2 linked regions of the Saccharomyces cerevisiae S288C genome follow. The gene in region 1 interacts genetically with each later gene. Each region holds a gene or a part of one and is shown on either strand. Other genes may lie near its edges.

Region 1 (8,529 bases):
ATGTATGTACATGATTGAATAGTAAAACCTTTATAAAACTTGTCGAATTACGGGCATTTTCTTTTTACTTTGATCCCTTCGATTCTGCATCTGTAGTTGACTCCACATCCTCTTTAGGTTTTTGGTTGTCATTGTGAGATTTTAGTGTTAAATACAATGCATTTGAACTGTTTTCCAACGTACGAACCAAACCCAACCCACTTAGCATTTGCAAAACGCTGACTAACTGCGACTGCATTTCCGGCTTTGTGGGGAGAGTCTTAAAAGTGTTTATTTTTTCCACATTCAAAACTTCGTTTTCTACTTTTGCACCAATCACCATCAGCTTGTCTTGTGCTGACTGCAGAACCTTCAATAGCTTGGCTACTTGTTGAGGGTTGGTGTCTTCGTATGTAATTGTGGCCGTAGGACCCTTCAGTAGTGGCAAGAGTGGATGTTTCCAGTTTTGCTCTTTACGCTTCACGAATCCACATGGGTCGGGCAGATGCGAATTTCTCAAGTAGACTTCGAACAGGTTGTTTCTTACTTTTGTGAGTTTCCCTCCTGTCTGTTTAATCTTGAATCTGAAATGGTGATCTTCTGTTTTGGAAAGATTATTGTAATGGACAAAAAAAATCATAGAACTGTTCTCCATTAAATGCTTGTATGTATCGATGAGAAACGTCTTCCTCGAGTCCAGCGGCTTTACTGTCTTTCTTGAGGGTTGTTCAGAAGCCAGAGCATAAAATCTCTTATGTACTGTACCAATTGTCTCCTTCAAACCAAAAAAACCATTTCTGGGGACCCATCCAGGCATAAACCTTAGCTGCAACATTATTTATAATCACACTCCGCGCCCAAGCACTTCCAATAAGGTCTAAAGCTTTTGTTTTCCTTACTCTTCAATTGTACTAACCTTCTTTCTTTTCTCAGTTTACTGCTATAACTCTACGTTTTTTTCTGTATGAATCTCTACTAAGCCCTAGGGTTATTAGTGTATAAACGTTAGGTTACACTATGAAAAAGACTTGTTTAATAGGTCATATAGTAAAAAGCTTAGGTTAAGTGCCTTCAAGAACGAAACCTAATTTTAAAATTGACGACTAATTATCAAGTGTATTGAAGATGGCTTGAGATGAACCTTAGCACTGGATGCTATGGCTTGTAGAATAAGCAGATATCCCGGTAATTTAATTTGAGTTGCTCAAATTATATACAAGAACGTGGTAGAGACTGGATTTGGAAGCGTCTCTTTTTATGAAGTAGATTTTAACTCCGTTTTCTTTTCATTTCCTTCTATTCTTTTGTACAGAGTGTACCACCACGTTTTAATACTTTGTTTTAATACAGTAGGCAATGGTTAATCAGGGCCAACCGCAACCTAACCTCTATGACAAACACATTAACATGTTTCCACCAGCAAGGGCGCGGGAGTCCTCGCATAAATTGGGAAATGCCAATTCGGATAGGCATGGTTTGCCAGCTCAAAATATAGTGCCTGCACCCTATCCAGTGGATGACTCTATCGTTGAACTCACACCAGCTATTCCTTTTACATCCCCTTCATCTTCCTCATCATTATCGCTGCCTTTGAGTGCGCTGAATTTCACAGACGGGAATGCTGATGGTGGTCAATTAGGCACTCCAGTAACCATAAATAGTAATAACGGCATGGACATTTTTAATTCCAAGCCAACAGGTGAAATAGGATATGCCAATAATGGCACCAACAGTACTGGTAGTAGGTATGAACTTCCTTTCAATTTTAGTTCTACAAAAGAGAGTTTGGGTTCACCAGCTGTACAAGATGCATCAATAAGCAGTGGAAATCGAATATCAGAGTCTGTAAGGGACAACTCAGCGCCACCACCCTATGAGGAATCTGAATCTAGGATACTGCAGGAAAAAGTTTACAGAACCGAGGAAAAAGCTCCAATACGACCTTTGAATAATAATCCTGTTCCACCACAAAAAATCAACCAACCACCCACTGGGAGCGCGAAGACAGACGATAATGGGTCCTCAGGTGGTGAGGACAAACTGTCTTCCTATTCACCAGAGGCATTGGCTTTCTATCAAGTGTACAAGAAGACAATTACTGACTCTTCAAAATTCACCCCCGAGATACAAATGCAATGGTGTGAAACATTACTTACATATGCCTTTAATGAGGATTTCATATCGCAATATAACATAAACGCGGAGAAGCTCAAAAGAAGCTTAAAGCCTGAGGAAATGCTCAAAAACCAGAAAGTCATTTTGGAACATTCATTCAAGGTGCTCACAAAATTGATAACTTTAAAATGGCCACCTGCCATGTATTTAATGGGGACGCTGTATTCACACCAACCCTATTTACCTATAAAGAACAAAAACATCGTTATTAAAAATGATGAAAAGGCGCTGGAATATTATTGTAAAGCTGCGAAATTGAACAATTCAGATGCATGCTACCGTGCAGGTGTATGCTTTGAATACCAAAGGGGCACCTCTTCTTTGGATCCATCACCAACCAAAGAACAATGCATAAAAAAGGCCTTCCAATACTACCAGCATGGCGCAGAAGTTTGTTCAAATTCTGCGTGTATGTATAAATTAGGGATGAGCCATTTATACGGTCTGAACATGCAAAAGACTGATGTATTGCTAGCTATTAAATGGTTTGATAAAGCTGCCCAAAAGGGTGACTCTCCACAAACATTATATGAGTTAGGTAAAATATATGAATTCAGTGTTTTGCCGCCAGAAATCCAGAACCTATTATTTGCGAACGGCATACGAAAAGACTCTCAACTGGCAATAAAATACTACCAACAATGTGCCAAAGATTTTGAGTACCCTTTAGCGCAATGGAAATTAGGAAATTGTTATGAGTTTGGAGACCTAGGGTTGCCAGTGGTGGCCAAAAAATCCATATATTGGTATTCCAAAGCTGCTGCTGCTCAGCCGAAGGGGAATCCGATGGCAATGTTATCCTTAAGTGGATGGTACTTAACGGGAGCACCAAATATTTTGAAACCAAACAATAAAGAGGCATTCAACTGGGCCTTGAAGAGCAGCAAGTGTTCAGACGGTAAATTAGCCCGCACTGAATTTGCCTTAGGATTTTATTACGAAAAAGGTGTCGGTTGTGAAGTTGATTTGGATCTGGCCAAACAATATTATCAGAGGGCTGCAAGAATGGGATTCAGGAAGGCAGTTGATGCTCTTCGAAGTTTGACAAATTAACGAATTCGCATTTCTTTATTATGCCATAAATCAAATATTATTCAGGACATTAGTAAAATATTGTAACATTCTCCTCAAAAATGAGAGGAGAATAAAAATAACAAAAGCGAAGAAATGCGACGTCATTTACTCATTATTTTAAACTAAATAAAAAAAATATTGTAACTACTTATCGTTGTAATGATATCTTTTCTTCAAAAAAATATATAGTTGGTGATAAATATGACCTCTTTGAAAAAAAGAAAAGGAAATGAACTACTAGCTAGAAAGAAGAGAGAAAAAAAAAAAAACTAGATTATGCGTGTTGCAATTTTTGCTTTAGGCCGTGCGTGGTTTTGTGTAAGGTTTCATTATTCTTGATGGGAATCGATTGGCTTTCGGCGGGTTTAGTGGTGTGTCTAGTTGGAGCTGGAACGGTGATTGGATCTGGGATTTCCTTGCTTCCTACCAGATTGTAATCACCATCTTTTAGGTTTTGCTCCAGTTCACGCTGATGAGCTGCTAATTCTTCTTCAATATCAACTGTTCTTGGATCATATGTCTTGACATCTGGTTTACTGAAGTTTTCATGCCTGTTGTTGAAATCCTTCTCTGTTGGTATTTCCTGCTTCCCAGATTTTAAGGTGCCAATATTCTCATTCTGAGAAACTGGATATTCGGCTCGGTTATATTGAGAGGTAGAATAGCTGTCTTTGCCACTTTTGGAGGCTGACGTGTCGTTCATGTTGTCAAACTCAGAAGAGGAAAGGCCGCTCTTGTTACGTTGAGAAGTAGAAGATTTGTTTTCGTTACTGATAGAGGTTGAGTAGCTGCCTTCATCGGTTTGGGGTGGGATAATCTTGTCAATGTATGGTTCAGTCTTTTCAACCACCTTGTTGTAATTTTTGTGAAACCTATGAATAACTAGATCCTTCATCCTGTCGATAGCACGGTCAATTCTAGCCTGCTTTCTATCGTAGATTAAAGGCACAGTGTACAAAAAGATGGTGGTCATTATCAAAACAGTGTTCATAGAGAATATAGCAAATAGGCCGTGCAAGAAATAGAGGGAAACACCAATGGTAAAATTGTTTCTTGTTCTGTGTGCAAACACTAACTTTCTGATTCTGTCCTCTAACGCAGGCAGACGATCCAATTCGCGGTCGATATGAGGCTTTAAGACGCCAACAAGGTCCGGAGACTCTTGCATGCCAAACCTAGACACTACTCCTTTATCAAATAGCACCTTTGTAGAAAGCTCCACCGCAAAACTCGTGAACAACACCATGTATCCGATCTTAAGTAAAACAGAAATAACATTGACATTTCTGAGGATCAGCAAACTCACCAGAGTCGCAGCAAAGCTCGCACCCGACTTGCTAGGGTTAGTCCAGTATATCAATCCCGTCTTGTTCTGATGACCTGCTTCACCGGGAGCGTTAGCATTTCTACTGTTATTCAAATTCGCGTTCTTATTGGTAGTCGTATTCCTATTCATGTTGATGATAGTTTGTGGCAAGTTGAGACAAGCAATTGAACAAGTTATTACTACTATTGCTACATAATTGATCTGCTTTTCAATCCCTTTTATATATTTTTTTCATCAAAGTAGCAAGCTTTATCGTTTGAGGGTGGAAATAAGGGTGAACAATAAGGGGAGATTGCCTATGCGCCTAAACGTCACCGTCTAACCTTGTTCTCCTTTCAACAAAAACGCCTTGCGTTCTTATTGCTAGGCCACAATTACAAGCATCTCAAATGGGGCATTATCACACCGGTACCACCGACACATTCTGCTGCTACCCTTGTAGTTTAAGTTAACTTTGCGTCCACTTTTCGTAATTATTTTGCTCCCTGGCAGCACCGGGGGTAAAGATGTCTTTCTGGCTAATGCAGTCATCCTTACATTGTCGTTCGTACGGCAGTCCAGGATTTTTGACCATCTTTACGCAGCAATTCCCATATAACATTCCTTCTCTCCTTGTCAATTGACCCTGGGGAGCGTCTGACCAATAAGAAACCGATGAGTAAGCAATGAAGGTCTTTTTTTTGGCTACGAAAATTTCAGCAATTTTTTAAAGTGAAAAAGTAAAAAAATCAAACATAAAAAAAGAAAGAAAATGAAAAAGTAAAGGAACGCTTTATATAAACGAGGCTACTAACTATCTGTATTATTGCTACACATAGCCTGAATTCAAGGTCATTGGCAGATTGACGCTCGTGTTTGCATGGTACAGGGCTGTATTAGATTTTGAATATTCTGTTCTTCTCATCCCGTATTAATATCTAGAACAATAGAAAAAAAGAAAAGCGAAGAAAATCTAGATAAATTTGTAGTTGGTAAATACACACGTACTATGGGCCCTGAAACTCTACATATTGGTGGGAGAAAATCGAAATTGGCGGTAATACAATCCAACCATGTTTTAAAACTGATCGAAGAAAAGTATCCGGACTACGACTGCAAGGTTTTCACTTTGCAAACTCTTGGTGACCAGATTCAATTCAAACCTTTGTACTCATTTGGCGGTAAAGCTTTATGGACAAAGGAGTTGGAAGACCATCTTTACCATGACGATCCCTCAAAGAAGCTTGACTTGATCGTTCATTCTCTGAAGGACATGCCCACTTTACTACCAGAGGGTTTCGAGCTGGGGGGTATCACTAAGCGGGTCGATCCAACAGATTGTCTTGTCATGCCCTTTTACTCTGCTTATAAGTCTCTGGATGACCTTCCAGACGGGGGGATTGTGGGAACCTCATCCGTGAGAAGATCTGCTCAGCTAAAAAGAAAATACCCACATTTGAAATTTGAAAGTGTCAGAGGAAATATACAAACTAGATTACAAAAACTAGACGACCCAAAATCTCCGTACCAATGCATCATCTTGGCGTCTGCTGGGTTGATGCGTATGGGGTTGGAAAACAGAATTACGCAGCGATTCCATTCGGATACAATGTACCATGCAGTTGGACAAGGCGCCCTGGGTATAGAAATTAGAAAGGGTGACACCAAGATGATGAAGATTCTTGACGAAATTTGCGATCTAAATGCAACTATATGTTGCCTTTCGGAGCGTGCTTTGATGAGAACTTTAGAGGGGGGTTGTTCCGTTCCTATTGGTGTGGAATCTAAATACAATGAAGAGACTAAAAAATTACTATTAAAGGCCATTGTAGTTGACGTTGAAGGCACAGAAGCAGTAGAAGACGAAATTGAAATGCTAATAGAAAATGTTAAAGAAGATTCCATGGCGTGTGGTAAGATACTAGCTGAAAGAATGATTGCCGATGGCGCAAAGAAAATTCTGGATGAAATTAATTTAGACAGAATCAAATGAACACCATTAATTTGATCAGTCCAAAAACTCTATTATTACTAACTAAAGTTCCCTTTTTTTTTTTTTTTTTTTTTTTTTTCCTTATCTCCTTTATCTTTCAGTTATTTATTTCCCTCTCATTCCTCTCATATTACTTGTTTAATTTAATGACCATTTTCAAATGACCACTGCATAAATATTTTGTCAATTAGAATATGTAATTCCTACCTTTGTTTATTTTATACTATTCATACAAGCTTCGTTGTTAATATATTTATTATAGCTTGTATATAAAAAATGAAATCTTGATTTATTAAATTACACTTGGTGAACTTCTAAAAAAACACTAATACATGTGACAACTATATACAACGTAAGAAGTGCAATACTAATCTTCTTGTCAATTTTCCAGTCGTTTAATGGTATCAAAACCGTAAATATCAAAAACGCGATCAGAATTCCGACTCCAGTATTGATTAAGTTTTTATCCACTTTAAAATCAATATGATGCATTAAAATATTACTATCTCTGCCACTCACTATTTTTCCAGTTTTGTCGCCTAGCATTATCATAATTCCATCAAATCCGACGCCAAATAAGAAATATAAAAGTGGACTGCCAAAACAAGCTCCTATCGCGATTTCTAAAACACCTATTTTGACGAATGTAATATTTGACACTAAATCACCAATCGAATTACCCCATGTAAAAATGGTTAAACCTAGTATTGTTTCCGATATATTAAACACATTTATCCAATGCGTTAACGTGACTACAATTATGTGGACAGCTTTCGAAAGACAGGCCAATGACAATAAAAATGCTACTGTAAAGATTATATCAGAGTTGAACTTGTTCGGTATGGTCCTAGTTTTAAAATATAATAAGATGGCTATCACCAGCGATAAGATGAGCAACCAAAATGAAAAGTTATTTGTGATGAGTTGGTTGAGAATTATTGGCGAAGCAATCAATTGAATATTCTGTAGGTATGAAAGGGGTAAGTCATGGTCTGTTTGACTTATCTCTGATGGTATTGAAAGATAAAGAATTATTGATACCGGCGTAGTGACTAATAATGACAAGAACTCAAAGAAACCAATTTCCAAGGACACATCTGTTAAGTAATTGTAAAGTTGGAAACTATGCCAAGCGGTTCTACTCTTTGTTGAACAGAGAGATAGTGTTCTATCGAGAATTATATCATCTCTCTCATACTGTAAGAGAGAGTTGTCGATAACATCTGATATGCTGTTCAAGGCATTGGTAGATTCCTGTGTACGTGTAGCCTCGTCATTTAATATAATATTATTACTCCGGACCAAGTTTGGAATGCGATCGCAGCTTAATGATTTCTTGGAGGTTTTTTTTTGTGGCACAGTCAAAAACAAACTTGTGGGTTCATTATAGTAAGTTTGATACTCGTTTTGGGGAGCAGAGATTGCAGTATCCAGCGCATTTGAATTTTCCCCATTCCGTAGGGACAAATATTTGTAAAAATCCTTAGGTTGTAATGAATTCATCCTTTTTCTTATTAAAGGCCTCCCTTCTTCATCTAAAGAAGCTTTAGTAAATAAATGAGTATCATCGGAGGGTAAAGACAACGATTTTACTGTATTGTTAAAAAGATTCTGCTTCTCCCATATATTCAAAAGATCTTGTAACGTCATTCTTACCCAGCCATGATAATGCGACCGTAAATATCCCCGTATTCTACGTCTTATTAAATCCCTTCTTTCAGGTATACCTTGATTAAATCTCGAAATGTTATCCAGGGATTTACTTGGTAAACGAGTTGGATCTAAACTAATAGCGTTGTCCTCATCAATCTGTGTATCCCCCAAAGGCCTTACATATCTTATTCCATCGTCTGTGGATGTAATGTCACTGGTAGTCGTTAATGTAAATCGATTTGGAACAGTGATATGATTATTTGCAAGTACAGTTTTTTTTATTTCTACCTCTCTTTCTAAAGCATCATTGATTTCGCAGGGATATTTGTAGCTTTTTATTAAATAGACA
Region 2 (6,541 bases), on another chromosome or scaffold:
CAATTTTCGTCGGTGATTTTTTCTGAAATTTGATAAAGCTGAGACTTAAAATTACCTGATATTTTTCTAATGTTTGATATTTTCTGGAAAACGCCATTAGCAATTCCTTGGCTGTTTTCGTTTAAATTGCCCTGTATGTCCGATAATTTATAATTTGTGAACTCATTTGAAGCGCCTTTTGTATAACAAATCTGCTGGGCCAAGCCTGGGAAAGGCAGAGCCGTCTTCTCGCCAAGTTTGAGAATCAAACAGTTTTGGTTTAGTTCACTTCCTGAAGTATTCATATTTACTCCTAAGTATAGGTCGAGAGGTTCAAATGTTGTTTTGATTTTTTCATTCACATAATTTGAAGGTAGCTCGACGTATTTTGGTTTAATTAGGTCATATAACCTTTGCGGTTCATTGATACCATCATTTTCGAGCTTGTTGATAAGCTCGATGATTAATGAAAACATTAAGATTACAACTCCTAGCCCACAGGATATCATATTGGCCGGATTTTCACCTACAGAAAAACATGATACCATAGTTTGAATTACTTGAAGTGTTAGTTTAGTGTCATCCAGTTTCTTTTCACTAACAGATTTTGTAGCGGCAGGTGCAGGTGCAGTAGAAGTTGATGTCACCGTTTCATATACAGTTTTGATGATTGTAACAGTATCTATCATGTCATCATCATGGAATGCAAAAAGAAGACCCAGGAGTGGGACGAACGAAGCAAGTATTCTGTAAATACCAACCATTTCTTTTTATCTGGCGCTTTATATGTTTATGAATAGTACGTTATGATGATTGTTTTTTTACAAATGTTTGTGAATTACACTAATGGTAATTCCCTCTTTAGTTAGAAGTAATGGAAAATTAGTACTTTCTAATTCTTGTGATCAACGCTTTTTCAACGTTGCCATCATCAACAGAATCTCGATCTGCTAGCCAACATCAAAAAGTTGTTTGCCGCACATCATGTAACCGAACTTTCAGTACCACAAAAACTAATATGCACGGCGCTTGAAAAGTGCTTTAATTTTGTAAACTATTTTGTTTTGTAAATTTCTAGGCAGTTGAGGCTACCGTCGTGACCACAGAAAGAAAACATCTTCAAAACACTTTAGTGACTGTCCATATAGCCGCCGAAGTTAGTCGCTGATATAATTTGAAACCTACATTATTATTTGTTCGTTTGGAAGACACGTTAGGTTTAGTATCAATAAACTTCCCATCCGAAACACTTATTCTACTAGTGTGTTTCATAATGCGTAAGCCAGCACGTATATATTCATCTCAATTTGTTACACACTTAACATACTATATAATTCCTGAGAAAATGCCCAGCTCATAAACATCGGTAGTCCAATTCAAGAACGGGGGAACTGAATTTGGGAGTAATCAAAAAAAAAAAAAGACGTTACTTCATCGTTTTTGTTGTCATTGTACACTTCTTTCATTTCTTTTCAGATTTAACTTCTCTGTCCGTAGTCGGCAAATAACGGTCCTTTAAATGCAAGGGATCATCAAGAGATTTTGAAAAACTGTGGAGCCAGATATTTATTTGTCAACTTTGGACATCTACCTTAGTCTGTCTGCTTCCCTCTTTTTGACCTCTTTTAGTAAACTCTGAGGTGGGATGACTGACTCTGACGGAGAAAGTATGTAGATATCTCAAGAAAGTATCAGTCCACGATATAGTAGGAAATATTATACAATACGTAATGGAAGCAAAGTGTGCTTCCATGAGTTTTAGACAAATTTATGTCCCTAAAACTTCGAACTTTTAACGGGAACAATTTTGGCCGTGATAAATTCTTTTCCAACGCTTATATTGATTATCCGTTATTGGTTTTTTGTTGGAGACATTAAAAGATGGCCAATGGCGTAAGAAAATTTTGAAAAAAAGTCAGACATTCAAGTTGAAAAACTCCTTCATCTTCCTACTTGAGTCTATATTTTCATTGATATTTCCATAAGAGAAGGAGCAGTCAAGTTCAAGAACCAACTTTCCGCAGTTGGCAGGTCGAAAAAATAAATGCGAATTCTGTGGATCGAACACAGGACCTCCAGATAACTTGACCGAAGTTTTTTCTTCAGTCTGGCGCTCTCCCAACTGAGCTAAATCCGCATATCAGAATGAAATAAACAAGCATTCTTGTGCTTTATAAATGGTCCAAGCGTCTAACTTTTAAAGAGTACATTCTAAAAGTAAGAGACGAAGACAACATTATAATAATTTTCTCAAGACATATATGTTTCACCGGCACGTTTTGTTTTGTCCCCTTTTATTTTGAGCCTGAATACTATGCTTTATAAAACTTTAATGCGCTCAACAAGTGCACCTTCCAACGGAAAAAAAGAAATTCAACAGGGAGCGATGCCATCATCACATGCACGTTTTCAAGTATTTATAAGACTTGCTACTTGCTCGTCCATTCATGACTTTAATGAGGTTCTAATTTATTGGTGCAACTCTTCAAACTAGCTGCCCAATCAGTGCTGGAATGAGTGCCAAGACAAGCGACAAACCCTGTCAATCTCCTGAAAAACAAAAATTAAGTGCTTGAGAAGACCTTCAGAAGAGTTGCATAGATAGGATGGGTGAGCGCAATTACTAGTTACGCAGTAAGTAGGTTATATGGCTGCTGGAGGGGCAGTACTGATTTAATCACAATCCGGATTAAACTTCCTCCTGAAAAAAAAAAAACTACATCAAGTCAAAAGATTTTCATTCACTCTTTGGAAGGCTGTGTGGCATTCTAACCTTTATTTTTTTATCACCATTCTCGAATTTTCGTGGTTCGCTTTCTTAGCGCCGTTATTCTCTCTTCTTGTCCACGTCAAAGGGAGTATGCGTAACCCCTTTCAAGGTTGAACGAAAAAAAAAAAAATATGTCCTTCAAAATTTTTTTTGATTTAAAACTAAAAAACATTCCCTTGAAGCTTGTTATTCCGAAAGAAAGAATCTAAAATTGCAATTGGTAGTGAAAACAAATAAACAAAGACATAACCGCACTCCAATCATGTCCGAATATGCATCTAGTATTCACTCTCAAATGAAACAATTCGATACCGTATGTAAGATGGTTTTATTGGTTCCATCGTCATCATGGTTCAAACAGCCAAATGACCCGACACACGTAACCGAAGCAGTTATACTAACAAGAAAGCTAATTTTCACCCTCCTTGCTACATTTTTTTCTACAGAAGTACTCTGGTAATAGAATTTTACAGCAATTAGAAAATAAAACTAATTTGCCTAAATCTTATTTAGTTGCTGGTTTAGGTTTCGCTTATCTCCTTTTGATTTTTATTAACGTCGGAGGTGTAGGTGAAATTCTTTCCAATTTTGCTGGGTTTGTGTTGCCAGCATATTTATCGTTGGTTGCTTTGAAGACACCAACGTCCACCGATGACACACAACTCTTGACCTACTGGATTGTCTTTTCATTTTTGAGTGTCATTGAATTCTGGTCCAAGGCAATTCTATATTTGATTCCATTCTACTGGTTTTTGAAAACCGTTTTCTTAATCTACATTGCCTTGCCTCAAACTGGTGGCGCTAGAATGATCTATCAAAAGATCGTAGCCCCATTGACCGACAGATATATCCTAAGAGATGTTAGCAAGACAGAAAAGGATGAAATTAGAGCTTCCGTCAATGAGGCTTCTAAGGCTACAGGTGCTTCTGTTCATTAAGAGGCAACTCACCTATATCCTCAAATCAAACTCTCGTTTTTGTTCTCTTTGTTATCTATTCTATTGAGAGCATATAAGTACATATGTTATTAGTTGTTATATATCGCTACTTAACATATAAAATATTTTGGAGTCGTTTATGGTGTCCCAGAAGATAGCATTTCTATTCATCGTGTTGTGTCGTGACGTGTCTCTTGATATGCGCGACAGACCATCCAACGCAAGGTCATTAATCATGTTATGTTCTGTAATTTTAAAGGCATTTTTTATAGAGTTTCATCGAATTTGTGATCGAACTGTTCATTGGTGATAGATGAAGAGCCATTTAAATGAAAATCCAACTTAACTCTTAACTTCAGTTTCCCAGATCCAGAAATTTTCAATGACTGCTTGCAAATTTGGCTGGCGTTTATTGTGGAAGATGGATATAACTGGCCTAGTGTTAGCTTTTGAGCTTTAGGAACGGCACAGAAAGTTTTTAAGTCAGATATTAAAGACTTTGCCTGAAAATATAAATCCAAATGTGCTAATCCAGAGTTTGCAGAGAGCAAGGAAGCATATACATTCAGTGAGGAACTGTCATATATCTTGTTGGCATCCAATGGTAAGGTGACACCTGAGTTTGCCTCCACTGCCGACGAATGATTGATTGATTCTTCCTTGTTCGCATTTTTGGGCACCTGAGCAATGTCATTCTTCTCTCCAAAAATCTCTTCTAATATGTCAATTGGTTTCACATTGTCACCAGTAGAAGCCTTGCTTTCAGCCTTGCTATCCTCACCCAATAAATCTGACAGCAGATCAACTGGTTCGTTGGAGATAAGGTTTTTCGATAGAGCTTTTCCATTATCCTGTTCCTCGGTAATTTTTTCAAATTTAGGCATTGTTTCTAAAATGATCTTCTTCACAGAAATTGACTGATTGAAAAATATCTCGTATTGATTGCTTTTCATTTGCAGTGATAAATCAGTGGAATCCGTGTAGCTCAATATCAGTTGTCTTAGTTTTTCAATATTTTTCGCGTCATGGAACCTCACAGATAATTTTAATGCTGCTGTTAAAATGTAATTGATTATCTTCAGATTCGTTGCTGTGTAGAGTTCTTGCAAAGTTAGTAAGTAATCAGTAATAGATGACTCATTGATTATGTCTGCACCATTTTTATTGCCCTCGTTGAGTACTAAATCGCCATATTCGCCAATGCACCAAATCAAAACCAACTGCCAACCAATATTTTCCTCGGAAATCTCCGCTGATGTTCCATTTAGTGAAATTGTCAGCATTTTCCGTAAAAATTCAGATTTGTCGGATAACTGGCTCGTATTATTTATTATGATTAGAATATCATTAATTTTTTCATAGTTGATAAACGATCCCACTAATTTTAAGATATTAAAGAAAACATCTAATTTCCAGCTTTCATCTTTGACAACGCGGGTATCAAAAGTGTCAATTAAGTGATCTATAGTGTATATTATGAGATCTTTTGAATCTTCATCCTGTTTTGCCAAAAATTTCATCAATTCGTTAACCAATTCCACTAAATTTGAATCGTCCAAGATGGCGAAGCTCAACTCTAACGCTCTCATGCGGATCGACACATCGGTATCCTGCAGACAATGAGAAATGAATTTTCTATGCCTTTGTACTGCGGTAGGCTCTTGGGGAACAACTTTTAATAAGGTGTTTAATGAAACGTATTTAGTATTATTATCTTTTCCTGCAAGAAACTTGGCCAAGATGTTAATACCAAGGACACGTAGAGGCTGGTTCAAATCCAACGAAAAGATCGTCTTCACGGTCTCATAAAGAATGGCCTGTCCGCTGTTTTTCGTTGAATCCGTATTCGTCGCAATACGAGTCAATAAATCGCAGAAATTATCTTTGTAGTCCAAAACATTGTTCGAATTTAAGAGCTCACCAACTTGAAAGTATAGTTTTAAAGTGTAAATTATTTCACACTGCAGAAATGGGTCACAAATACCTTGGACATCATATCCAGGTTCAATATTTTTAGAATTCATATTTTCCAAACGAATGAAAAAATCACGCAAAAGTAAAGATAATGGAGACAAGATGTCATTGCTGTAATCAATACCGTCTTCATCTTCATCCTCATCTTTTTTTCTGTTCAATCCAATTAACAAAATAGATTGTATGATTTTCGTAACGCCTAAAAGTACACCGTGAGTACATATTGAATGACTAGACAATATCTTAGTAATGTCTTCGATGTTGAAGATTTCTAAAAGTGAAACGTCTTTGAAAATTAGTTTGGCAGCACATTGAAGCGCTTTTTTCAAGAGGAAAGGGTCTCTTGAATTTTTGATGATATTTTCGACGTCTGGGTATAAATCTCTGGCTAATTCAGGGGAGCTCAAAAAGCCTAATGAGGTTAGTGCAAGTGACACTGCATATTTGTTGGGATGATGCAAATCGTTGTTCAACATGTTCGTTAAGAGTGTCAATAAATCTTCAGATTCGTCCAACAATAAAGTTGCGGCCAGATAGCCTAATCTTTTATCGACAAAATCGTCAGAAGCAATTAAATTGATAGACTCCACCTGACCGAAATGTGTCTTTTCCCCTAGAATGTATAGATACAGAAGTTTCTGGATATTTACTCGCCTTTTTTCATGTGGTAGATGGTCATCTCTCAATTTTGTCCTAATTTTAGCAGATTGTTTCGTTATAATTGCCCTTTCATCTGCCAGTGTTTTGGCACCACGAACGTCTTTGATAAAGCTTCTCAACGAAGAGCCCATTATGGTGTTCAGGTCTTTCTCGTTGCTAAATCAAGATGGTCAATATTTCTTCTCCAATATTAGCAGTATAAAATCTCGAAAAAGTATGA

The links. Genes that interact genetically often act in the same process or in processes that back each other up.
Region 2: mutations in RTN2 (region 1) and YOP1 impair growth when combined (synthetic growth defect), as found in Saccharomyces cerevisiae (one study listed by BioGRID).

The regions. Positions count from the first base shown.
Region 1 is NC_001136.10:90,760-99,288, reverse strand, and holds RTN2 (Rtn2p), read right to left. Parts: upstream 4,685-8,529; coding exon 3,503-4,684; downstream 1-3,502. Other genes in the region: mitochondrial 54S ribosomal protein uL10m MRPL11, read right to left, coding at 65-814; ACK1 (Ack1p), read left to right, coding at 1,336-3,207; YDL204W-A (uncharacterized protein), read right to left, coding at 5,004-5,156; HEM3 (hydroxymethylbilane synthase), read left to right, coding at 5,544-6,527; YCX1 (Ycx1p), read right to left, coding at 6,825-8,529.
Region 2 is NC_001148.4:620,516-627,056, forward strand, and holds YOP1 (Yop1p), read left to right. Parts: upstream 1-3,011; coding exon 3,012-3,062; intron 3,063-3,195; coding exon 3,196-3,687; downstream 3,688-6,541. Other genes in the region: YPR027C (uncharacterized protein), read right to left, coding at 1-743; APL4 (AP-1 complex subunit gamma), read right to left, coding at 3,954-6,452. UniProt on the Saccharomyces cerevisiae protein: Required to generate and maintain the structure of the tubular endoplasmic reticulum network and the vacuole. Induces high curvature in membranes and causes membrane tubule formation. Involved in membrane/vesicle trafficking.